Nothobranchius furzeri: one gene and its partner. The protein of the gene in region 1 binds, or shares a complex with, the protein of each later gene. Links are inferred from orthologs where the notes say so. Each region holds a gene or a part of one and is shown on either strand. Other genes may lie near its edges.

What was found.
Region 2: the proteins of kank1a (region 1) and eif4a1b are in contact, whole or in part, in a crystal structure (PDB 7DDX), measured with the Mus musculus proteins. The link is inferred for Nothobranchius furzeri from reciprocal best matches to the Homo sapiens genes KANK1 and EIF4A1. Residues at the interface, in NP_852069.4 of Mus musculus: Gly1168, Asn1169, Asn1171, His1175, Tyr1176, Val1178, Asn1201, Lys1202, Ala1203, Tyr1205, Met1209, Leu1210, Leu1213, Ala1214, Ala1215, Gln1240, Ala1241, Leu1248, Ser1251, His1252, Arg1254, Asp1273, Glu1274, His1285; in NP_659207.1 of Mus musculus: Lys99, Val140, Arg141, Val144, Gln145, Lys146, Leu147, Gln148, Met149, Glu150, Ala151, Arg168, Arg169, Tyr170, Ser172.

The regions. Positions count from the first base shown.
Region 1 is NC_091750.1:37,653,461-37,665,152, reverse strand, and holds the end of kank1a (KN motif and ankyrin repeat domain-containing protein 1a), read right to left. Parts: intron 9,979-11,692; coding exon 7,426-9,978; intron 6,671-7,425; coding exon 6,497-6,670; intron 5,285-6,496; coding exon 5,176-5,284; intron 5,011-5,175; coding exon 4,813-5,010; intron 4,009-4,812; coding exon 3,921-4,008; intron 3,622-3,920; coding exon 3,402-3,621; intron 3,320-3,401; coding exon 3,177-3,319; intron 1,791-3,176; coding exon 1,590-1,790; intron 1,420-1,589; coding exon 1,321-1,419; intron 1,242-1,320; coding exon 1,179-1,241; 3' UTR 949-1,178; downstream 1-948.
Region 2 is NC_091743.1:86,635,190-86,647,525, reverse strand, and holds eif4a1b (eukaryotic translation initiation factor 4A1B), read right to left. Parts: upstream 7,552-12,336; 5' UTR 7,467-7,551; coding exon 7,444-7,466; intron 6,368-7,443; coding exon 6,325-6,367; intron 6,078-6,324; coding exon 5,945-6,077; intron 5,697-5,944; coding exon 5,557-5,696; intron 5,063-5,556; coding exon 4,894-5,062; intron 4,747-4,893; exon of another isoform or gene 4,606-4,746; intron 4,443-4,605; coding exon 4,333-4,442; intron 4,240-4,332; coding exon 4,096-4,239; intron 4,018-4,095; coding exon 3,880-4,017; intron 3,776-3,879; coding exon 3,686-3,775; intron 3,466-3,685; coding exon 3,386-3,465; intron 3,284-3,385; coding exon 3,139-3,283; 3' UTR 3,094-3,138; exon of another isoform or gene 2,772-3,093; 3' UTR 2,341-2,771; downstream 1-2,340. UniProt on the Homo sapiens protein: ATP-dependent RNA helicase which is a subunit of the eIF4F complex involved in cap recognition and is required for mRNA binding to ribosome.

The DNA of each region.
Region 1 (11,692 bases):
GTGATTTCTTAGTAAATATTCTATTTGGCGAGAGATAAACTTTATTGTATTTATCCTAGTGGATCTATAATTAAACGGGTAAACTAGTAGTAGCACATTAAACGTCAAGGAAAGCAAAAAGTTATCAGGAGAGGGAGAATGTTTAAGTGGTTAGCAGCAGTGTGCTAGACGATGGCCCCCTCCATGAGGCCACCACAGCTCAGCAGAACAAGTCCTGTCACACTGGAAGGTAGCTTCCCAGTAACAAACTCCTCTGAATCGAAGCCATTCAGGAAGCATCTAGGATGGGAATTATTCACCAAGTCAGACTTAAACATTTGCTTTCTGTAATGCAACTTTCACGGAAAAAAAAGGAAACCAACTTGGACTTGGGGCAGCTATAAACCTACATATGGGATCTTTTTTCCCTACTCTTTCCAGCAGAACAGAAAGATGGAAAAGTTTCAGAAAGTAAAACATTTCTAAAAATACATTTGTGTTTTCCAAAAACTTATTTATTAATCTAATAATTTCATGCTGTATAAAAACCAACCCAGCAGAGGTTGCTTCGGTTTCAACATCAGACCAAAGCTGCAGTTTAAACTTTTATTGAAAGGTTTTTGTTACAAGTTTCAGGCACTCGAGTCCCCGTCAGGATGACGTCAGCACCTGGACGAACACTAAAGACAGGATTATCTTACACAAAACGCCGAACAACTCCGCCGTATGTACACTCAAATACACTTCTGCAATAAAACTATACTCTGATAAATACATAACTTCATGGGTTGTTGAGGATTATTTAGGAATTATTCAAAATACTGTTAATCGTCTTTAAATACAAAGAAGGAAAGTCCATCAGGTCACATCGAATTCACCAGGAGGCAGCAAGGAGACGTTACTCTAGTGTGTGTGTGTGTGTGTGTGTGTGTGTGTGTGTGTGTGTGTGTGTGTGTTTTGAAAGGACATCTGTAGAGTTTTGCTGGTCTGAGCGGAGTCGGCTGCTGATGGCGAGCGTTTCAGGCACCTCGTGGCTACATTCATGTTCAAAGGACACTTTGGGCTCAATGAGAGGGAAGTGGAACAAATAATCCCAGAAATCAGACAGGTTGGTTGTTGGGATCAAGTCCCTCTTCCATCGTTCAGCGAGAACCAATAGCAGCACAGAGTTTATCCACCGAGGAGGGACGGGGCGGGGTCTAGTCAAATACACCCTTCCGAGTGGGACTTGGTGATGTCTTCCTGCTGAGTCGAGGCGTTCCCTGGAAAACAAACACGTGAGGACAGGAGAGCTTCAAGGTCCCAAACCGAGAGTCGGAGGACAGAAGAAGACAAACATACCGAAGCCTGAGCTTTGGAGAAGTTAACGTGCGCATAAAGCAGCACCGCGATGTCCTTGTGTCCAGCCTCCAGAGCGATGGACAGAGCGTTACTCCCATCCTGAAGGGGGCAGAGAAGATGTCAAATCTAACTACAGCTCATTTATTTCAGTAAAGACACCCAAACACGTGAAAACACGAGGCTTTCGTTGTGAATAAAAGGTGAGTTCTGATGAAAAGAATCAGAACAAACATTAATCTGATACGGTTTCCCTTCCCGAGTCGACTCACGCTGTCACTGAGCGTGGCGTCGCAGCCCGGCTGGGCCAGCAGCAGCTTGACGATCTCCACGTGGCCGTGCTCGCTAGCACACATCAGCGCCGTGGAGCCCTCGTCGTCCTGGACATTGACGTTGGCGCCGTGAGCCAGCAGGGCTCGAACCATGTCCATCCTGCCGTGGCTGACAGCCAGCATCAGACCCGTCTGACCGGCCTGGAGCACACGGATCACATTTACAGGAACAATTAAAACGAGGGATGAACGATATCGGCTTTTTTACCGATATCCGATATGTCGATATCGTCTGACTCTTAATTTCTGATACTGATATAAACCAATACCAATTTGCTCATAAAAAACTAACACATTTAGCTTACAAACACCACAAATCTCCTGTCATGCTTAAATTTTAAGTATTTTATGTGCAAAATAACTATAATTAAAGTCAGTAACGGGAAAATTTTATGTGCGGGCAGCAGAGGACGATGTCGCCCTCTGCTGCCCGCACATAAACGGAAGTGACGCCACAAACAGCTGGCCGTTCCGGCTGAAACGTGTAAAAGTTAAAAAAAATTTTAATTACTGCACTGTGGTAAATAAGAAAAATGATGATTATGAATCAGTACACAGAACTAACATTCAGAAGAGTTTTAAAAACAAGCCTCGAGTGGATTCTTGTTTTAGTCATTTGTTAGCAGCTACACGTAGCTGCGTGCCGTTAGCTGCTAGCTACACGTAGCTGCGTGCCATTAGCAGCTAGTTACACGTAGCTGCTGCGTGCCGTTAGCTGCTAGTTACACGTAGCTGCTGCGTGCCGTTAGCTGCTAGTTACACGTAGCTGCTTGCCGTTAGCTGCTAGTTACACGTAGCTGCTGCGTGCCGTTGGCTGCTAGCTACACATAGCTGCTGCGTGCCGTTAGCTGCTAGCTACACGTAGCTGCTGCGTGCCGTTAGCTGCTAGCTACAAGTAGCTGCTGCGTGCCGTTAGCTGCTAGCTACACGTAGCTGCGCTCCGTTAGCTGCTAGCTACACGTAGCTGCGTGCCATTGGGACAGCTTATGTTCACTACAACGGGGAAAATTTGGAGCTAACTTCTACTTTACAAGTTGTGCCAATTTGAGTAAAATGTCTCAGATCTGTTATATTTTTATGTTATAATATTTTTAGAGAGGAGAAGTAGCCGAAGAGTTTTATGTATAATAAGTGTGTGGCAGGTAAACGCTGGTTCATTAAAAGACTGAAAACCAATACAGACATTTTCTAATTATAAATTTAATCGCTGATGTCAGCAGGTATTAATGGTAGACTGATAATATTAATAGTAGACTGATAATATCAATGGTAGACTGATAGTATTAATTGTAGACTAATAATATTAATGGTGGACTAATAATATTAATGGTAGACTGATATTAATGGTAGACTGATATTAATGGTAGACTGATATTAATGGTAGACTGATAATATTAATGGTAGACTGATAATATTGAACTCTCCTAATCAAAACCCAGATGAATGGTTTTATTTCTAAAATGATAGTAAGACACACTCAGCTCCAACTGAGCTACACGCAGCTGACCTCTGACCTCTGAGACCCACCTGACTGGCTCGAGCATTCACATCGCCCTTACTGAACAGCTCCTCTACGATGCTCATGTCCTTCGGTGTCTCCACGGCTGCCAGTGCTGCCAGCATGATGGGCGTGTAGCCGGCTTTGTTCTGCTGGTTCACGTTACAAACGTCTGGAACACACACACACACACACACACACACATTACTATTCACCCTTCCTCCTTCAGGCAGAAGCCCGAGTCTGCAGCTCACCTGCATCCAGCAGCTTTTTCACCACCTGGAAGTTGGAGTGTGACACGCTGTAGTGCAGCGCTGTGTTCCCGTTCCCATCGGCCATGTTGACAATGTGGCGCAGCACGGCCGGCGAGATTCCCTCAAACGCCATCAGGTAGTCTTCCACCATTGGCGCCATCGCCGCCTTCTGACTGGACACCCGGAACCACTCGTGCTGCAGCGTATTGAGACCGGCTCTCTGAGGGGGCGGGGTTAGAAACACCTGTTAGAGCTCCAGTGTTTCAGGATAATCGAACATGGTGCAGAAAACAAGTCAAATCTTTTACTTGGTGGCAAAAATACAAGAAATCTGGTGAGTTGTTCGTCTCTTTCAAGAATCTTAAGAGTTGGAAAATAAAAGGATTCACACAAGAATCTCCCTTACATTCATTTTTTGATCTATAATGTTTAACATTTAAACTACATGTAGTTTAAGTTAGCTATAATTACCAAGGACAACAACAATAACTCAGCGGCCTTGGGAGGAGCCAGACTCACCAGGTCTTTGCTGCTCACACCCTTCGAGTCGCTGAGGGACGTTTGGAGAACGCTGCAGGCAGACGACATCTTCTCACTCAGCTCAAACCTTCCCGTAAATAAAACACCAATAAGTGTCACAAACACATTAAAACAGCTCCACACAGCAGATTTCTGACTAAACGAACCCTGATTTTAGTTAAACAGGTGTCCATCCTGCCTCTCCATGTTTAAACAGCCTGACTGATTTGGAAGCAGAAGTCCTTTGTTTACGCTGGGAGGCAATTTTCTCTCAGATTCGGTGCCGATTCACATCTTTCTGTTTAACCTTCTTTTCCTCATGATTACAGCCAATCCAGTCTGAAACCACTGGAGTTGAATCGATGATGCTCCTTACCAGGGCTTCATTTGAGCCGGATCTTGCCGGAACAAGATCCGGGAACCGTCTTATTTTGAAAGGACCGTTCCGGCAACTCACGCGACCAACTTGTGCTTATACGCCGGATTCGAATTACAGGCAAGGCCGTGGGAAGTAGGGGGTGCTGAGCGTGTTTCAGCACCCCCTTGCTCCGGCATCTGCTCTGCCTTTACTGAACTTCGGTTTGACGTCAGTATTTACGTTCCGGGAATGTTTGATTTGCGCCCGACTTTATTGAGCAGGTTTTTAGACTTCAGGTTGGATCTGAGCCCGTTTTTCTTCAGAGGATCGAGTTTAAAGCTCGGCCAGGAGCCACGGCTGATGCTGTTATTTTAACACACGTGTTCTGATTAGAAGTCGTAAATGGAGCCGATAGAACTTGGAAAATCTGGGCTCCATTGGTAATGCCTGTTCAGTTACAGAAGTCTGATGTTCTGGAACCAAACAGTCAGTTAACCCAGTTTTATAAACAAACGCAGACATCTGATCACTCACCTCTCTCTCTTCTCCTTCCTCACACTCTCCTCTTCATCCTTCGTGTCCACGTCCTCTGCTCCTTCGTTTTGGAACTCGTCCCTGATGCTCCTTCCTCCCACATCCCCGTCCTCCTCCTCCTCCTTCTCCTCATCTTCCTCCGACCCAGAGGAGCTGCTCTCCTCTGAACTCGAGTCGTCGCTGGACGTAGTTTCGGATCTGCACCAGAAGGGGGCAGTAGAGACTCAGAAACCTGCAGACCCAGGTGTTCCGCACCAACAGGCTGCAGCAGCTCAGATTTCATGTTTGCATGCAGAAGACCGTGTGGGAGTACTGGGGAAGAACTTCACCCACAAACAAACAAACATTCGATTGTTTTCTCACCCTCCGTTTACGCCGACAAACTGAAGGTTCTTCTTGGTGCCGTTGGAGTCCCCTCGTCCATCTTTCTTCTTCATGATCGACTTGAGGGTGTTCTGACTGCACGGCTCTCCTTTAGGAAACACAAACATCAAAATTAAACCCAGAAACAGCAGATGTAGTCCTAAAAGAAGATCTACAGATCCAGATTCATAAAGTTTCTGTCAAGTCTGCATCGGGGACGTTGTTCTGATGTTTGTGTATTTAAATACATGTTTTCTTTATGCTCCTGTAAACAAGAGCAGATCAGGTCAGATGTTTTCACAGAGCTGTGCGAGAGGCTCTTGGAGGCGCCTCAAAGCCAGAAGCATCTCAGTCATTTTAAGTGCTGGTCTAAAAAAACCCAGAAATGCCAGCAGAGCGGGTCAGAACCCTCACATCTGCCTGGACTTGTACTGATGGAGGGGCCTCTCTGGTGCAGCGAGGTGTGTGTGTGCGTGTGTGTGTGTGTGTGTGTGTGTGTGTGTGGCGTTTAGTAGCAACAGTCTCTACATGTTTCCAATGTTTTGACAAGTGGAGGCAAAGAAAGCAGCTAATGAGGACAAACAGGCTGTTGGTCGGGTTCTGGTCGGGTTCTGGCAGCAGGTCTAGAATCTGCAGGTGAGACCGTGGAAGACGACGACTCTGCCCTCGTCTGCTGCTGACAACAGAAGCCAAACATTTGTACGGGAGGCAGCGTGCTGTCTGAGGGGTTACAGGCTCCGCCCACATATCTGCACACATTCAAGGTGTTTAAAAGTCTCAAATACCCAGTTACTGCTAAACATATTCCAGCAACCACTGAACAAGTCAGAAGGGGCGGGGCTTAGGATTTAAACCGCAGCCAGCCAGCAGGGGCGCTTTAGTTTCCTTCCACTCCAATGATCAGGTTGGTTTGAGACTTCTACCAAGAATACTCCCGATTCGTGTCCTCGAGTCCTTTTTGATCCCTTTAAACTCGACTGTTTGACATCACAGGACACCGAGCGACTCGGACCTTGCTCAGACCAGATGAACCTGAAAGCTTTTCACTAATAAATGCAACATCAGCACTTTTGTTCTGATCCGTCTGATAAAAAATGACTTTTAAAAGATTTCTGGAAATACTTTTTCTAATTGATCAAATGACTTGTTTAAACTGTAAGCATCAGACTTGGATTAGGACCGAGACTTGTATGTCTAGTGACCTGTCTAAGCCAGACCCGCCCCACCACTGTTGAACCCATTTCCCGGTGGTTTTCTCATGAAGGTTTGTTCTGGTCCAGTAAATCTGTCTGGAGGACCACTCGGGTTCCTGGACTTTTACCGTGCAGCGCCATAGACATCTGCAGGTCCATGCGGCTCTTCTGCTCGGCTGCACTGATCTGCGGCTGCAGCACTGGGAGCTCAGGATGGTCAGTAGGATCCAGACCCGATGGGGTCCGCTCAGGCTGCGAGGGGTCCACCTGCAGAGTCGGTACCTGGAGCTGCAGAACGTTCTCTAAAAAAATAAATTAATTAAAAAAAAGGCTGAAAATGTTCAAAACCTCATAAAACAACATTTAAATTAATTATTTGACTAACACCTCATATTTCTCTTCAGCCCTGACACTAATGTCCCAAAACAGCCCACTAAAGGTCAGAACGTGATCAGAACCGAGCCTGGCTCGCAGACCTGAACCCGGTTATGTAACGGCTCCAGAGCCGTGACTCGGCACCAACAGGAGGCGTTGGCCGAGGCAGGACAGCCCACTAAAACAACAAGACGCCGCCGGCGGCTCCCAACAAACATGAGCTCATGGTTGGTTCCTGTCCAAAGCCCCCCCCCCCCCCCCCCCCCCACACACACACACACACACACACACACATTTTTTCAGGGTCAGAGAAAACTCCAGCCTGTCCGATCGGATCTGGATTCTCTTTAAACCACATCTGAACCAGGAATCCAGAATCGGACTCCGGACCGCCGGGAACAAACGAAGGACGGCTGTCGGGATTCAAATGCTGAGAAAAGTCTTAAAAGTTCTGAATAAATATATAATAAATAATTCTGATTAAAAAACGGTAAAAAACTAAACCAGAAAGACCCACGATAGTCATAAAGCTGTGGGTGTGTGTGTGTGCGTGTGTGTGTGTGTGTGCGAGTGTGTGTCCTAATTGCTCAACCCGACTCGGAGCCATTCCTCACAGGGACCTAATGTCACAAGACGCCTCTGTTCTAGTTTCGGGTGTTCGGAATGCCCGGAGCATGCTCACCTTTGCTGGAGTCTGAGTTCAGATTCAGGATGTCCTCCGAGCTCCCGTACCTCATCACCGTGTTGATGGAGGACAGCGTGCTGACCAGCTGACTGTTGATGGACCCGAACTGGGTCTGAGGCTGGCCGAACGCCTCGGCCAGCTCGCTGTAGTTCTCCGCCAGCAGCATCTGCTGCTCCTGCAGGAGCTTCTGGACTCTCTCGATGTAGTGGTCCAGCCCGGCGCCCCCTTGTGGCTGCAGCGAAGCGGCGTCGGTCTCGTTAGTGACGGGCCCGGCTGGCTGGGAAGGACCACATGCGATGTTCCTGGTTTTTAAGCCGATCAGGAAGTTGTCGTGGATGCTGACTGGACCCACACCACACTCTCTGGTTCTGGCAGAGTTTGACTGGCTCAGAGCAGATTCCAGATCCGTGGCGGTCCCGACAGCAACCGAGCGGGTTTTTGCAGCTGTGGGAAGGTCTTTGACAAGTCCCTCTCCAGCACCTACTGTTCTGGTTTCGGTTGCTGCCGTGTTGGTGTGTTTATCGCAAGTCACCAGGTTCGTGTCGGTGAACGAGTCCGTCATGTCGGCCGTCTGGGTGTTGGTGGACTGGTTTGTGAACTCCGCTTCGGTACCGGTCTGCTGCGATGCGGATTCTGGAACAGCCATGATGCCAGAGTCCTCCCTAGCGACAGCCTCCGGGTCAGTTCCCTGCGACTTAAACGTCTTGACCGGATTCACGGAACCATCTCCACAGCCGACGGACTGGGACTCCGTGTTCGGCCATGCTGTGGTTCTACAGAGAAACGATTGGTCCAGAGTCTCCTCAGCGTCGACTCCCGTCTCGAACACACTCCTCTCCGCTCCAACCTGCTTGTGGCAGGTCTCCACCCGGACCTCCACACACTGGTCCTCCACCTCCACACGCTCCCGAACCACCTGGCGGTCCATGGGAAGCTCTGGTCCTGCGGCGACGCTCCGCAGGCTGGGCTGACAGGAGACTCCGACGCTGTGGGTCTGGGGGGTTCCATCTGTGCTGAGGTGGCCCCCCACTCCCTGGTGCCGGGTCTGGACTTTGGCCTCCACGCAGGCGTTGTACATCTCCGGCCGGACCATCAAACCTTTGTCCGATCTCTTCCTATTGGACCCACCGGCTGCTTGGAGCTCCAGCTTCAGCTTTCCCATTTCCATCTGGTGTGTGGTTTCTTTAAGCTGGACCTCCAAGCGGTAGATCTTCTCCTTCAGGGCTTCAATGGCCTGCTGCTGGAGCTCGATCTCCTTCTCAGCCTCACTGGTCACTCCCAGCATGTTCTCGGTCACTACTACTGCAGCGTTCCGTGTTTCCAGCCCCTCCGTCATCACTCCAATGTCCTTTATATGACGGGCGACAGAAATGTTCATGTTCTCATCGGTTCCTACGCCAACGGACTTAAGGTGGGACTGGTTCAGTAGGACGTTTTCACACTGAACTTCAGAGACCTTGTTCTCCTTGGTGGTCTTCTCCAAAGCTTGAACCTCTGCAGCCAGACGTCTGAACTCCTCCACCCGCTGCGAACTCTGCTCCTGGACTTCCGGTTCAATGATCTTCAGCTCGGGTTCCTTTTGGATGGAGCTGGAGTTCTCCATCTGGTCGGCGCTGCCCACGCTGTAGGAACGCTTGCGGAAACCCCCGAGCCCTTGACTTTTCGACTGAGCAGCCAGCTGTCGTTTCTCCTCCTGCAGAACAGAAATCTTCACCTGCAGGATGGGGATGGTTTTCACCTGCTCCTCCAGCTCCTTTAGCCTCCTCAGAGCAACAACCATCTGCTCTCTGATCTGCTGCAGGTGCATCGGGCTGACGTTGGTCACCGGGGTGGCCATGCCGGAGCTCAGGGGGCTGTGGCGAATAGAGCTGCCCATGGATGCAGGGTAGTAATGGTTGTAGTCCCCATTGGACAGGCCATTGAGGGACAGAGGCTGGTGGGTGCTGGGGGAGATCTGGCTCGCGGCAACAGAACCGGAGTAGGAGGACAGGGAGCTGCTGGAGCCCATGCCACTGAAGCTGGCGAGGCGGCGGCGCGGCATCAGAGGCTCGCCGTGTGGCTGCATGAGCTGACGCTCCTGCTCCAGGCGACGGCGGGTCTCCATCAGGGTCTTTTCCACCTGGGAGTTGTGACGAAGGACAGACCTGGGAGAAGGAGGCGGGAGCTGCTGCTTCTGCTCGGAGATGCCGGAGTAGGACTGATGCGTCGGCGCTTCACAGGCCGCCTTGGAGACGGTCAGCGGAGCAGCGTCCTGGGGCCTGGGTGCAAAAAACACCGGGGACTGTTTGCCGTCGCTGTTGGAGGAGGACAGGGAGTCCGTGGAGGTCCATTCAGGCCGAGCGCCTGTGCTGCTGCTCCGAGGTGCCGCCAAAGGTTTGGGCACTTTGGGTTTCCTCTGGATGCTCAGCTTCCTGATGGTGTTGCCCCGCTCGATGTCGTCGACATATTTGAGGAAGTCCAGGTCCAGCTGGTATCCGTAAGGAGTTTCTACGTAGTAGGGGGCCTCGGAGTCCTTCTCATCCCCGGTGGTGAGGCATGTCTGGTCTCGTTCTGAAAGAGAAGACGCAGGAAATGACATCGTTACGGAGCATTGCTAGTCGTTCCTGGTCCTCAAAGGCCACTTCCTGCTTCCACACACCTGGTTTGGGTTAGTGGCTGATCTGCACCAAAGGGAAGGCGAGTCAGAAGAAGAAGAAATTATCATTTCTATAGCGCCTCTCAAGATAAAAATCACGAGGCGCTTCACAAAAACCAAAAATGTAAAAATATAAAAAAGAACTTAGAAAATGGTTAAAAATATATTTAAAATGAGCAAAAATAGACAATTATGATTTAAAAAAATGTTAAGAAAGAGAGAAAAGGAAAGAGGGAAATCAGTGGATCCCGAGGAAAGTGGAATAGGTGGGGAGAGCAGAATAAAGAGAGGGGGTGAAGAAGGTCATACAAAAGCCTGAACAGGTGAGTTTAAAGGAGACCACTGAGTCCACTGATCTCAGGCTCAGGGGGAGAGAGGTCCAGAGTCTGGGGGCCACAGCAGCAAATGATCGGTCACCTTTGACCTTTAGCCTGGTGCTGCACAACCAGTAGGCTTTGATCACTGGACCTCAGGGACCTGCTGGGGGTGTAGGGACTAAGAAGATCACTAATATAAGATGGTGCTTGTCCATGTAAGGCCCTATAGACCAGAACCAGGATCTTGAAATGAACCCTGAAGTTGACTGGCAGCCAGTGAAGCTGGAGGAGAAGCGGGGTGATGTGGGTGTGTTTGGAGGACTTGGTCAGAAGCCGAGCACAGGCGTTCTGAACCACCTGTAGACGTTCAGGGAGGTTCTGCTCAGACACGTGAAAAGAGAGTTACAGTAGTCTAAGCGTGAGGAGATGAAGGTGTGGAGAACTGTCTCAAGTTCAGAGCGGGACAGAATGGGACTCAGCTTAGCAACGTTCCTGAGATGGAAGAAGGATGAGCGAACAAGAGAACTGACATGAGAATCCAGAGTGAGAGCTGGGTCAAAGGTCACGCCAAGATTCCTGACAGAAGGTTTGGTGTGAGAAGCAAGCTGACCAAGAGAGTCTCTGACTTTGGGAACCAGCTTGTCTGGGGCACAGACGAGGATCTCAATAGGAAGGCGAGTCAGGTGTGTTGGAGCAGGATAGCTGAAGCATGCTGGACAGGAAACCCGACCACGCTAAACGTTCCAACAACCCTCATCTCTACAGGTTCTGCTACCGAGCAGCCAGGCTTGTCTGGGGCCGTCTACGGACCGGCCCGATATCGGCCCTCCACACCAGGACCGGTGCACCTGGGAACAGATTTTATTTGAATAAGACAAACGTCGGATGCTAAAAGCGTTGGGCATGCCGAGTGTTCCTGTGACCACTGATAATCACCATAATTGGACCTCACAAGTTCAAACCCGCCTGCATTTGTGGCGAAAACGCAGAAGTGACGATTCTGGCAGGAGAAGATTAAGGTCCGGACTAGAACTGGGAGCTAAACCAGCACAATCTCAACCAGTAACGTCAGAGAAAAGAAGAACCGGTTGTTAGAGGAAGCTTATCGGAGCGCGTTTCAGGTTTACACAACCAGCCGGTCACACGGCACCAGAACTTCTGGTCCAAAATCCAGGCTTTTGTTTACAGACAACATCTGCAGATCAATCAAAGTCCAAACTCCACAGGCTCAGCTAAACTTCCCTCTGCCAGCGTTCCAGGACTCCACATTCACTCGGCTGGCTAAAAGCAGAGCCTTGTTCTTGGAATGCCA
Region 2 (12,336 bases), on another chromosome or scaffold:
CCCGCTCATGATGGTCAGAAATAGTTGTGATTCAGCTAAAAAGTGTGATGAAATTGGTCTGGACAAAACAGATGGAACAGAGCTCCTTCCACAGACGTTCTACCGGATCAGGGCTCACTGAAGACAAGTTTAGATGTGTCCAATGTTTGGTTCTGATCCATTCGTGGTGTTTCTAGCTGTGTGTTGATGTTCATCATCCAGCTGGAGGACATCCTGAAGCTTTCTGACCCTGAGCACATCTGGATCCAGAAGGTCTTGAGATTTGATTGGACCCTGAACAGATTTAGGACTCCCTGGTCCCATAGCAGGTCAAACGATCTATCTTAGGTGGTTTTGAAGTTTGCAGATGACACCATAGTGGGTCTCATAACAAACAACGATGAGACCCTCTAAAAAGAGGAGATGCAGCACCTCACTCAGTGGTGTTCTTTGAACAACCTGGTGCTCAACACCAGTAAGACCAAGGAGGTCATGGTGGACTTCAGGAGGTCCAACAGGACAGAGCACCCACCTCTACTCATTTGGGGGGAGCTAGTAGAATGCGTAGACAACATCAGATTCCTGGGCATCCACATCACCTCAGATCTAACCTGGTCACTGAACACTTCCTTTCTGGTAAAGAAGGCCCAACAAAGACTTTTCTTCCTTAGGAAACTGAAGGGAGCCAATGTTGTAGCCGATCCAAAAGTATGTCATGATCGACCGTGTCAAAGGCCGCAGACAAATCTAACATCCAAAGAGTGACAGCATTCCCCCCCCCCCCCCCCCCCCCCCCGTCACAAGCTAAAAAACATCATTAAGAACCATTAAAATTGCAGTCTCGGTACTGTGACCTGCTCTGAACCCTGACTGAAAGATCTCCCAGAAATCGTGAGTGTCTAAAAATGCAACCAGCTGTAAATATACAACCCTCTCAAGCAGCTTAGATAAGTAAGGTACTGTAGGTGTGAGATAGGTCTGTAATTGGCCAACACAGCCTCCTCCATCCCCTTCTTTTTCAGCAGTGGTCGTACAACAGCCCTCTTAAAAGTAAGGGGGACCACACAAGAGGCCAGACTGGTATGTATATATAAGGGGCCAGAACAGAAAAAGCCTCCTTAAGCATCCTTGGGGATGAGCATCATAAGGGGAACCAGAAGGTTTTTGCTTGGAAATGAGTTCCTCTAGCTCTGTCATGGATATATAGTCTGAAAGGCTGGCAGGTTTGCCCTAAGTGGCATAGGCTCCACAAAAACAGGAGTGTGGCCTACGATAGCAGTCCGAATCATCGGTATGTTGTCCACAAAAGTAGTGAAGAAAATCCTCACGTCCCGGCCTTCGCAGCCGTGGACCTGGAGGCAGAAGATGCAGTTTCCAGTACTGAGTCACCTTAAAGAGTGCGTGGGTCATGAGAATTTGATTCCACAATGTTGGCATAATATCTGATCCTAGCCTGTCGTACCACTTGCTGGTAATCAAAAAGTGACTTTTTATAAATTTCATAGGACACGTGATGTTTGTAATTGGTGGGTCGCTGGTTTGAATCCAGGCTGTCTTCTGCTAGTCATGGTGTCCTTGAATGATTGTCCTGTCAAGCACTCCAGACCTTCATTATTACTATTATCTTCTTCCATGATGCTCATTGAGACAGAACTTTGACCGTGGACTTCTCGAATAGTTCTGGTTCTTTTCTCCACCCTCAGCACCACAAGTTGGACCAACCTGCTCATGAGTCCACATCTTAGGAAGTCGTCTTCAGTCCAGTGGACTTTAGTTGAAGTCATGGGAACATCACCTGTAACATCTATAATCTGAGCTCCAGTCCAGGATCAATGTGGTCCACACCAAACCAGAGCACCCATCAGCGCTTTGGTTCCTAGAAACAAGCTGGTTGCGATAAAACGGCTCCTGCGATGCAAAAAGTTGTTTTCGCTTCATGCAGGTAAGGCCGGGTCACCTGTTACTGATCTCTGATGGCTCAGGAAACAGGTCTGGTACCTTGTGTTGCGTGATAATGTTCAGGGCAGCTTTTCCTATAGATCCACGTTCTAAATGTGCAGCCAGGAGGGTCGTGATTGTTCTCCGTGTCAGAAATGGTTTAATAAATGTTTTTCCGGTTTACGTCAGAACCAGAACTACACAGGAGCCGAGCTGCTGCCTCTAGCTTCACCTCCAGCCTTCAGCCAATCAGAACCAGCACCTGACTTCAAAAGGAACTGGTAGGCCTGCTCAGACCAGTAAAGCAGGATGGACAGACCACATTTCTAACCCCCACGGTCATGTGACCAACCCCTTCAGAACAGCTGGAGTGCAAGGATCCACTGTTTTTCTGGTTTTGAATGCAGAGCCAAGTTTACACTGTTAAAAAGGAGAAATCTTTATTTTTAAAAGGCCATTAAAATAAATACTTTACAGAAAGCAATGTAGAAAACTTGATACACGATCTCAAAAAAAAGGTTAAGTCATGTTAAAGAGGCTAGAGGAGGTATGAAGAGGGGTATCGACCGGTTTAGGAGAGGATTTCACCTCCGTTTTCTGGTTTGGTCCTTTAATGTCACTTCTCACCCCCCCTCCCACCCCATTAGGGTTTAAAACAAACAAGTCTAAAAGCACAAGGCTGAAGCTCAGGAAATCTGGTGCTGGAGGCAAAGTTTCACACCACGTTTGGATTAACAGCTCTTTATTAAATCAGCCTCACATGCTCCTGAACCGGATCTCTTCTACATGAACGGGTGAACGCTGCAGAGTCCCACTGGAGTCAGGAAATACTGGTCTGGTCAAACCCAGCGCCCCTGTGGGGTTAAAGCATCGAGTTGTGGAGTGTAAACTGTAGTTGCAACCAGGAGACACCCGAGCGGTGCTGCACTAAACACTTCAAGACACTGCTCATGTTCACACTTGTGATCAACCAGACAGGAGCGCCGGCTACAGAACAAGAACCACGTGCATCAGCACCGAGCCGCTAACGCTCAGGTGCTGGTCTGATCAAACTACAGCAGAAAGATGAAGCAGTTCATGAAAGGCCAACAACAACGTCAAGTGTCTGGATGTAAAAACTCATGATGGAATTCAAAGAAAAATAATCAGATCATAAAGTTAAAAACGAGATTTTACTTCTAAAATAAGCAGACTGGGGCAAGAAGAGCCTGTGGTATCTTTCTAGATCAAATCAGCCACGTTCATGGGCATCTCCTCGACGGTGGTGTTGTAGAACGTCTCAATGTCTCTCAGGGTTCGCTTGTCATCTTCGGTCACCATGTTGATGGCTACGCCCTTCCTTCCAAAACGACCACCTCGACCAATCCTGAAGGGAGAACCAAAAGCAGGATGAAGAGCTTCACCAGAACCAGGAAGAGGTGGTGCTGGTGGGGTCATAGTGAGGAAACCGCAGTATTTCTGCGAGTACCTGTGAATGTAGTTCTCTCTGTTGGTTGGAAGGTCGTAGTTGATAACGAGAGACACCTGCTGGACATCAATCCCTCTGGCCTGAAGGAGAACACATATGTTAACCATCTCCATACACACACACACGCCAGCTGCTGGACGTGTAACCCGCCATTCAGTTGAGAGCTTCAGACTTGAACCGAGTCACAGTGGAGGACGGGTGAGTTACTTTCCCAAAGAACAATCAGTCCTGCACCACCACCACAGATGGGAGGAGAGGGAACTCTGGGGTGTGTGTGTGTGTGTGAGAGAGAGGACGCACCAGCAGGTCAGTGGTGATGAGGACTCGACTGGAACCAGAGCGGAACTCCCTCATGATCAGGTCTCGTTCCTTCTGGTCCATGTCACCGTGCTGAGAGAGACAAAATAAACCTGAAACCAGCCGAGCTTCAGTCTGAATTTCTACGGAGGATATGCAGCGGGTCCTGGTTCCACCAGGCTCTGAGAGGCCGTTACCAGAGCAGAAACGGTGAAGTCTCGGGCATGCATCTTCTCAGTGAGCCAGTCCACTTTCCTCCTGGTGTTGATGAAGATGACGGCCTGTGTGATGGTCAGGGTTTCATACAGATCACACAGCGTGTCCAGCTTCCACTCCTGTACACACAACCAAGTCAGATGGTCAGCCCAGGTTCTACACACCCATAACAGACCATGCTGCCCAAGCTGGTTCACCTCCTTCTCCACATTGATGTAGAACTGACGAATACCCTCAAGGGTCAGCTCCTCCTTCTTCACAAGGATCCGGATCGGGTCTCGCATGAATTTCTTTGTGACCTCCAAAACATCAGCAGGCATTGTGGCCGACAGAAGGACAACCTATCAGCACCAAACCACGAGAACAGCATGAACACCAACCCTTTTCTACACCTAGACTGTGGTCTGAAGGTCCCAGCCCTCCTGGAGTCTTACCTGGATGTTGCTGGACAGTTTCTGAAAGATCTCGTAAATCTGATCCTTGAATCCTCGACTCAGCATCTCATCAGCCTCATCAAGCACGAACATCTTGATGTATTTAGAGGCTGAAAAACAAAACGCCGCTTTTTAAGTTCCTGTACAAATGCTAGAACCTGATGTTGAAACGCCTTCCTATTTTAAGTCCTCCTTCTGGGAAGTCACTTCAGACAGGACTTCTTGTTTTCATTCACACTAAGTCCAGAGAGCTAAAGGTACCTCCTGACACAAGTACTCAGAACCATGAGGGTGTGATCATGTCTCCAAGTCCCTGATGTTGTGAAAACCCAGGTCAGCAGAACGCTAGCCTGAACATCACCACACCAGGACGACTCAAGAGTCAGTTGACACGCATGGATTTCATCATCATACTGCACTTCCTGGGTTCAGGAAGTGATCTGTTAAAAGAAACAACCCACTAACCCAAAGAACCCGACCATTTGGTACCTTCTAGGCCTGGTCCAATACAAGTCCATCTACCAGAAGTGTGTCATTCCCAGAGACGGATAAAGTACTCACAGATGTTTTTACGTGTTATCATGTCAAAGACACGGCCCGGGGTTCCCACCACGATGTGAGGAGCTTCCGCCTGCAACTTCTGGACTTCACTGCGGATGCTGGTGCCCCCAATGCAGGCGTAGCAACTGGCCCCCATGTAGTCGCCAAGAGCCAGAACCACCTTCTGGATCTGCAAACACAAGCCAGGTGGTTTGTGAGGAACCACAACCCTAAACCAACGTCAGACTTAAGGTGAGGAAGATGTGGCAGCAATGCACTAAACTCACTAGTCACCCAGTCTGTCCCCACCTAGTAGTAAAGGGCCTACAACCCCCCCCCCAAGGTGCTTCACAACATGGTCATCCACTCATTTAAGCTGGCTTTCACGCGACCTTCGTCAACACTGTCCTTATTTTGCTCAACCTATCCCGCCTTTCCCAGGAGCCACTGATCGTTTTCCACCCCCCCCCTCCCCTTTTTTACATTTTTAAAATCACAATTTTGTATTTTGGCATTTAACTCAATTTCAACCCAAGTAGGTCTAGTGGGTGGGCGGAGGGAAGAGCGATGAGGAGCTCTTGCTCATGCTGGGCGAGCCAGTTTTAAGTCCCTTGGGTCAGTTCAGTCACAGGCCTGTTGAGAAATCAATAGCCAACACCCTAACTGGTGTGACTGGGTCCTTACCTGCTGAGCCAACTCCCTGGTGGGAGCCAGAACCAGAGCCTGGGTGCCTTTCAGCTCTATGTCGATCTGCTGGAGGATGGAAATGGCAAATGTGGCAGTCTTCCCAGTGCCAGACTGGGCCTGAGCAATCACATCGTAACCTGGAGACCAGAGAGACGGAAAGGGTTTTCAACTAAACTAATCCAGATCATCATCACCAACTCCACTCCAGCTGGCTGATACGGGCTTGTCCTAAAGGTGCAACATTAGCCACATCAGGGCTGATGAGTCATCGGTACGATGATGTTGTGTAACCAGTCAACCACACAAGACAAAACAAAGCTGCTGAGATTTTAGTTAATCTAAGGAAAACACTAAAGTGCACCCTGAGGCCAGTCCTCTTACCTACCCTTGATACAAGGGAGAATAGCTCTTTGCTGGATAGCAGATGGCTTCTCAAAACCATAAGCATAGATTCCCCTGAGCAGAGTTTCACGCAAGTTCATCTCATCAAAACTGTCCACGATCTGGTTCCAGTTGCTCTGGGAGACAGAAACAAGGCAGAGTGACGTCAATATTTCCTACAAATGCTGATCGGATGAGACCAAGACAGAATCAGCAACAAGGCCTTAGAATCAAAAGGATCCTGTTCATTTTAAACTCAGTCCAGATGGAAAAGCTTAATCTCTCCTAATCATACAAGGCAGTTACTGCACATGTGAAACATCAAATATGTAAAAAGCAGGAACACATCTACGTCAGAAACCTTTAATTAGTAGAAATTTTTACCTCGATGATGCCATCGGGCTCCATGCCCTCGGGGCCATTGTCTCTGAAACCAAACAATGAATATTCATTAAAATCACGGATCCATCATTTCTCTGGGTTCCGTCAGCAGACGGGTCCGGTAACGGGTCCAGAACGATCGGAACCAGCCCGGTAGTCTGTAGAACCGACCGAAGTCGTTAAACGGTAAAGCGACCAGACTGGATCCTTCAACGGAGTCCGCCATTTTTATCGTAGGCCGCATTCAAGATGGTCGATCCGACCAGCTAGCAAAGGCACTGAAACAGGCCGTGGCCCGGAAAACATTCGAGTTTACGGTCAGATGAAGTATTTAACGAGCAAAAACGGAACATGACGTTCCGGATGGCAACGGTCCAGCGAGACAGAGTTAGCTTGTAGCCACGGCCTGCTAACTTAGCTGGTCCTAAGCGGGCCTCTGGGTCTCTACCCAAGGATACAGCTAGTAGAATCCATCACCAACAATTTCCTTGCCGAGGGAAACCGTGAGGAACGGATTAGGGTTGCTCCAGCGGCGGCAATGACAGAAAAATGAAAAGTCGCGTTAGCATGTCCACCCTCCCAGTTAGCGCCGCCATGTGCACCGATCACCGAGGCCAGAACATCTAACGCCTACGCTAACGGGAAGGCTGCAAATGGTCGGTTGTACGCGAGAAATCACAGACGGAACATCATTTCGCTGGTTTTGGTAACGGAGTGACGGCAGACACCCTAAACTACCAAGTCGGCGAAGGCCTGGAGCCCTCACGTGCTACACGGAACCGGCAGCCTTTTCTTTTTTCTCAGGGCCGACATCTTTAATACACGTTCACTCTTCTGGCGAATACAAATACGCGATTAAACCTACAAAATCAACTTTTGAACTGGTTTACCTAAGTGATATCAGTATCGATCAATAAGACTGAGATTCTAGCATCACCACTGAGAACAGGCCTCTAACAAGGCTAGTCCTTTTAATAAGCCACTCGCGGTGCCTCAAAGTCTATATTACGGGCGAGTTCCTAGTCACCAATTCTCACAATTCGACACAAAAAACACAAACGGCAATAAATATCGTAAATAAAACAGTATAATATTGTTTGAACAATTCGTTATTTCACTGACCTGTTATCATATTCAGCCGACATTATTCCAAAGAAAGAATCCGGGGCAGAAAATTCTTATATATGAAGAACTCACAACGTCGCATTTTCATTGGACAACATCACCGTCACTTTTCTGTAGACCCGCCTGTCGAGGTTCGTGATTGGTCCACTCCTACATGTATTTTTAAAAGGCGGGACTAGGCGGAACTTTGCTTTCCACCAGAAAGAGGTAGGGATCTTTTTCGTTTAAACGATCAAAAACAAACATTGACAAGAACGAAAGTCTATTAGAGATAAAAAATCATGGTTTGTTACTGAGAGCGAAGCGGGACGCGGGGACTTGATTCAGAGCTGACTTCAAACCTTTACTGTAAGAACAATAATGCCCAAAAAGGGCAAAACGTTAACCGCAATAGTAAAATAAATGCGAAATGTTGACCTTTAATGGCTGATAAAATGGGTCAATAATGAGAATCATTTTCAGTTGAACATTAACTTACACCGCACATTCAGAGTTTATTCATTTTCTAAGTTATTGTGAGGTTGGACTCTTTTTACAGTGCATAATTAGTACATCAAATGTATTGTACCAAAGTGTTTTATCCCTCCCAAAATGTTGTAAAACAATTACAAAAATGTATTTTCTTATAAACATTTCTGCAGTTCTAATAAATTGTCACAGTAATTCTTTTTGACAGCAGTAATGTGTTGTTTTGTCCTACCTGTGCAGGTCAGCTGAGCTCTGACCTCAGTGGCGATAGTCCGTGCTCCCTACATCTGTTATCTGTAAACTTTCTCATTCTGTCTGTTTTGGTCAAAGAGTAAAGGCCACTTGAATCTTCAGATATGTTAATCCATAGATGTTTAAAATCACGTTTCACCACAAGTGTAAATGCTGCGGTCGAGTCCAAAATCAACACATTTAGGATGAATCATTTTTAGTTCACTAAAGCAAGAGTGGCTCAGAATGGCCGGACCTGCTGGAAGGTTCTGTAAGAATATACTCCACTTGTTCGGGTCATGAAATGTTTTTTTATGTAAATTATGAATGATCATCTAGGGATGCACCGATACGATACCAATACCAGTATCGGTAAAAGTTAACCGATACCAATGCAGTTGCTTGAAAATGGCTTCACTGTAACTTGTCATTTCTGTTCACCTAATATTTTGGTTTTGTGATGATTTCTTTTCATATATTTTACTTTTTATCTACCTCACAGTCCTCCTGTTGAAAGCAGAGAAGAAAATAAAATCTGAATTCCAAATCATTGCATTTTTTTGTGTGGTAGAAGTATCGGTAGTGGTAATCGGTATTGTGAGTACTCAGATCCAAGTATTGGTATCGGTTTGGAAAAAAGTGGTATCGTTGCATCCCTATTATCATCACACTGACTTTATGGATGACTAGCTACTCAAGCTTTAAATACACAGTTTGTTTGCCACATGTTTTTTTTATTTTAGCAACCATAATGCATCATAGAAGATATAGAAAACAACTCTGTTGCATCAACTGAGGAAAACAGGATGCAAATCTAAAAACACAACTATCCACAAGTATGATGTTTATTTTGTGTATATATTTTTATATATATATACACTGGAACAAAAAAAAAGAGAGAAAGCACGTAACTCAGTTGTGGACATATGGTGCCTGTTGTGTAGCTGCTGTGGTCCCCACCAAAATGGCTTAAAAAAACCTAAAACATTTTTTAGACTTACTGCAAAAGAACAGAAAACGTAGTCCGTTTCAACACCATTAGTTCAAAGCAATACGCATTTCACCACATTTACTGACAGGAATAAAAACACAGTAAAAAGACAAAGTAGAGGCTCCCCTCACTCTGGGTCTTTGTTTGGCTGCCCTGAGACGCAGAAACAAAAACTCACATTACTCAGTTACATTTGTTACTGGAGAAGGCAAAAAGGTTACGGTGCTGGAGCCGGGGGGGGGGGTCTGGCTTGTCCGCTGACGGTGAAGCTCAAACAAACTTCTTATGAAAACCCTCTCCTGGCAGCATTTACTCCAAGATCCAGGCCCAGCGCTGACCCAGCTGAAGACATCGATGAGGGGTTCGGATCAAACTACACAGAGAAATGGTACCAACACAAACTGACATTGTCCAAAAACTCACTCTAGCATTTTATTATGGGTGGCAATATTGTTGGTTTTACAAAAACAAAAACCGTGAGGAGCATGAAATGATGACAAACTAGAACCGCCTCCTCTAAACCCTTATTCGTGCTTCAGAGTCAACAGTAGGATGAACAATAAGCTCATTCCCAACATGGATGCTGGTCTTCATCTCTGGCAGCTACTATACAGGAACTACGGCGTTAAATTCAAACCAACTTTTCAGAAGGGTGAACTGAGGGAAGCAGACTAAAGGAAAACGGTGACAGTGGATATGCAAAGTGTCTTTTCTCAGGAGGAGTCAACAAAGGCTTTGTTTAGTCCTTTCTCCAGCCCATCAGTTCCTACCCTTGTCCTTCAGTTGTTTCATCACCTCTGTGTGGTTGGGATGAGGGGGCTAGAGGTGAAAGGTCACAGGGTGAGCTTGCAGTGGCACAGTTCTTTGTACATTTGCCTCCTGAGCTGGGGCATGTTCTGCTGCCCGAAGCCGAACGGCTGTCCTAGAGCCAGACACTTACAGTACTGCGACAGGGAGGAAAAAGAACAGACACAAGTTACTTTTATGCATTCACCTCCTAACAGCACCAAGGCACGCTCACCAGGAAACGCTAACCCAACGCTTCATGTCTGTGCTGCAGACGGCTGCAGGTTCTAGGTTTTACTGGACAGTTGTGTCCCACTCAGAGCAGCGCGGTTAGGCCATCTCCGTTAGTAACACGTCTGTAGTCACCGCTCTTTTTTCACACTTGAATCGATGTGGTTCCAGGCCTAACGACCCGGGCCGATAACGGTGAATGTCGGTCAGTGTTTGGCTAGGGGGTGGAGTCCGCCTCGCTGCCTGCAACCTTTTCAGGGTCTGACAAAAAGCAACTGACTGAGCAGAATGTTCGGCATCACTACCGTGTTCTTCTCTGTTGTGTTTTGTGTACAAATCACCTCGCGGTACTGATGTGCTGGGTCGCCCACGCCCACCCACTGCAGCCGTAGTGGAAAGCTCCCGTTACACAAGGAACTCAGACACATTTCACTCATTCTGAAATGCATTTGAGTGTAAAAACAAACAATCCTTTCTTAGCCAATCGCAGCCAAGCGTTGTTGTGGTTAACGTGTTGGTGCGGCTGTTTAAAGGGACATTATGGAAGTGTGACAGCCAAAACATGTATAGAAATAATAAATGTCTTTTTCATACGTTCTCCTGCAATGCCCTGGTCCTGTAGAATGAGCCCTGGCATTTTTACTGTGATTGCCTGTTTTTCTGTAAAATCACAGAAAAAGAGAGATGCTCGGGTCGAGCAGGCTGCTTCATGCGCGTTCACGCTCAGGCATCGCCCGTAGCATTTGCTATCCGTAGCTTTAGCAGCAGAGAGAGAGGCAGTGCCACTTTGTCGCTGTTCCTAACGCCTAGTGACAAAGCTAGCTACATTTCTGAGGACCCTTAGCTACTTTCTGTAGAACTTTCTTCTAGATATTTCCTGCTAATTAGCAACAAAATAGCCATTTTCACTCCGAACCGTTCTTTGAACGTTGTTTCAGCTGCAATCAAGGATATAAACGTTACAGATACAAAGGGTGTCACTGGCGCTTTAGCTCACCTAGTAAGACGTCGGACTCTTGTGTGGGAGACCCGGGTTCGAATCCAGATGTGAACATATTTACTTGAGAGTTTATTTTTTACATTAATGGTATATATTTTTACAGTAAGATGTACAAATTTTTATTTGAGACTTGCCGATCAGCATTGAATTCACAGATAAAAAGTTGTGGGTTCAACTTTCATTTTGGAACAATTTTTCAAGCAAGGGAAGGGAATGATCTGAGCATGCAGGAGGACTGACCCATCATAAACCTTTGTCGGCTGTGCTGAAGAGAAAGGTACAGAACCAAATTATTTAATTAATTAGCTGCGCGTTCTCCTGTCCTCCGGGCCACACACACACACACACACACACACACACACACGACTGTCTCAGCTGTTATTTTCGTTAAGGAGTGTGCACGTACAGCATGCGCGCCTCGTGCACGAGCCTACTATTGAAGCTGCCGTTACGCTTTTGGCCTGAGGGGGCAATCGCGAGCATAAAAATTCAAAAGTCCGTAAAGTCCCTTTAAACATAGGTGCACATCAACTCGGCTCCAGGACTTTGGGTTCCACCAACAAAGTGTCCCAGCTGATCAGCGTGTGATCACAGCTGATGGGAAACCAGGAGTACTGGGCAACAAGGGTCTGTTTAATGGTGCAGCCTGTATGTGTGATCAACTACTGGGACTGGTTGCAAACTCACCTGTAGTACAAAAGCACCACAGTCACTGTCGTTGTTCTGGCGACCCACATTCTGTAAAACACCAAAACAACATCAGTATCCAGGAGGTCAGAATATCACCGCTCAGCAGCTACAGAAGGAAACAGTCCAGCTTTACCATTTTAAAAAGGCCTTTCCACCCCATCAAAAAGTCAGGTTTGTCTTTTTTGATGGCTTCAGCTTGAAGGTACTTGAAAATATGCTGAAAAAGAAAATAAATTAAGTCTTTGAAAATCACAATCCGATCATATCTAGTGCACACGACTTGGACTAATCTAACCTAATCATAAACCCACCACACCAAATTAAAAAGATCCATAGTTCATACATCACATCATTTAGGATTCTGTATTACTGACATCTATAGAGAAGTGGAAGTTCTGCAGCATAGCTGTTGTGTGTTTTCAGCTCTCAGACCAGACACCTGCCTAAAGCCGGGCGTACACTGTGCGACTTCTTCACTTTTTTGAGCCGATTT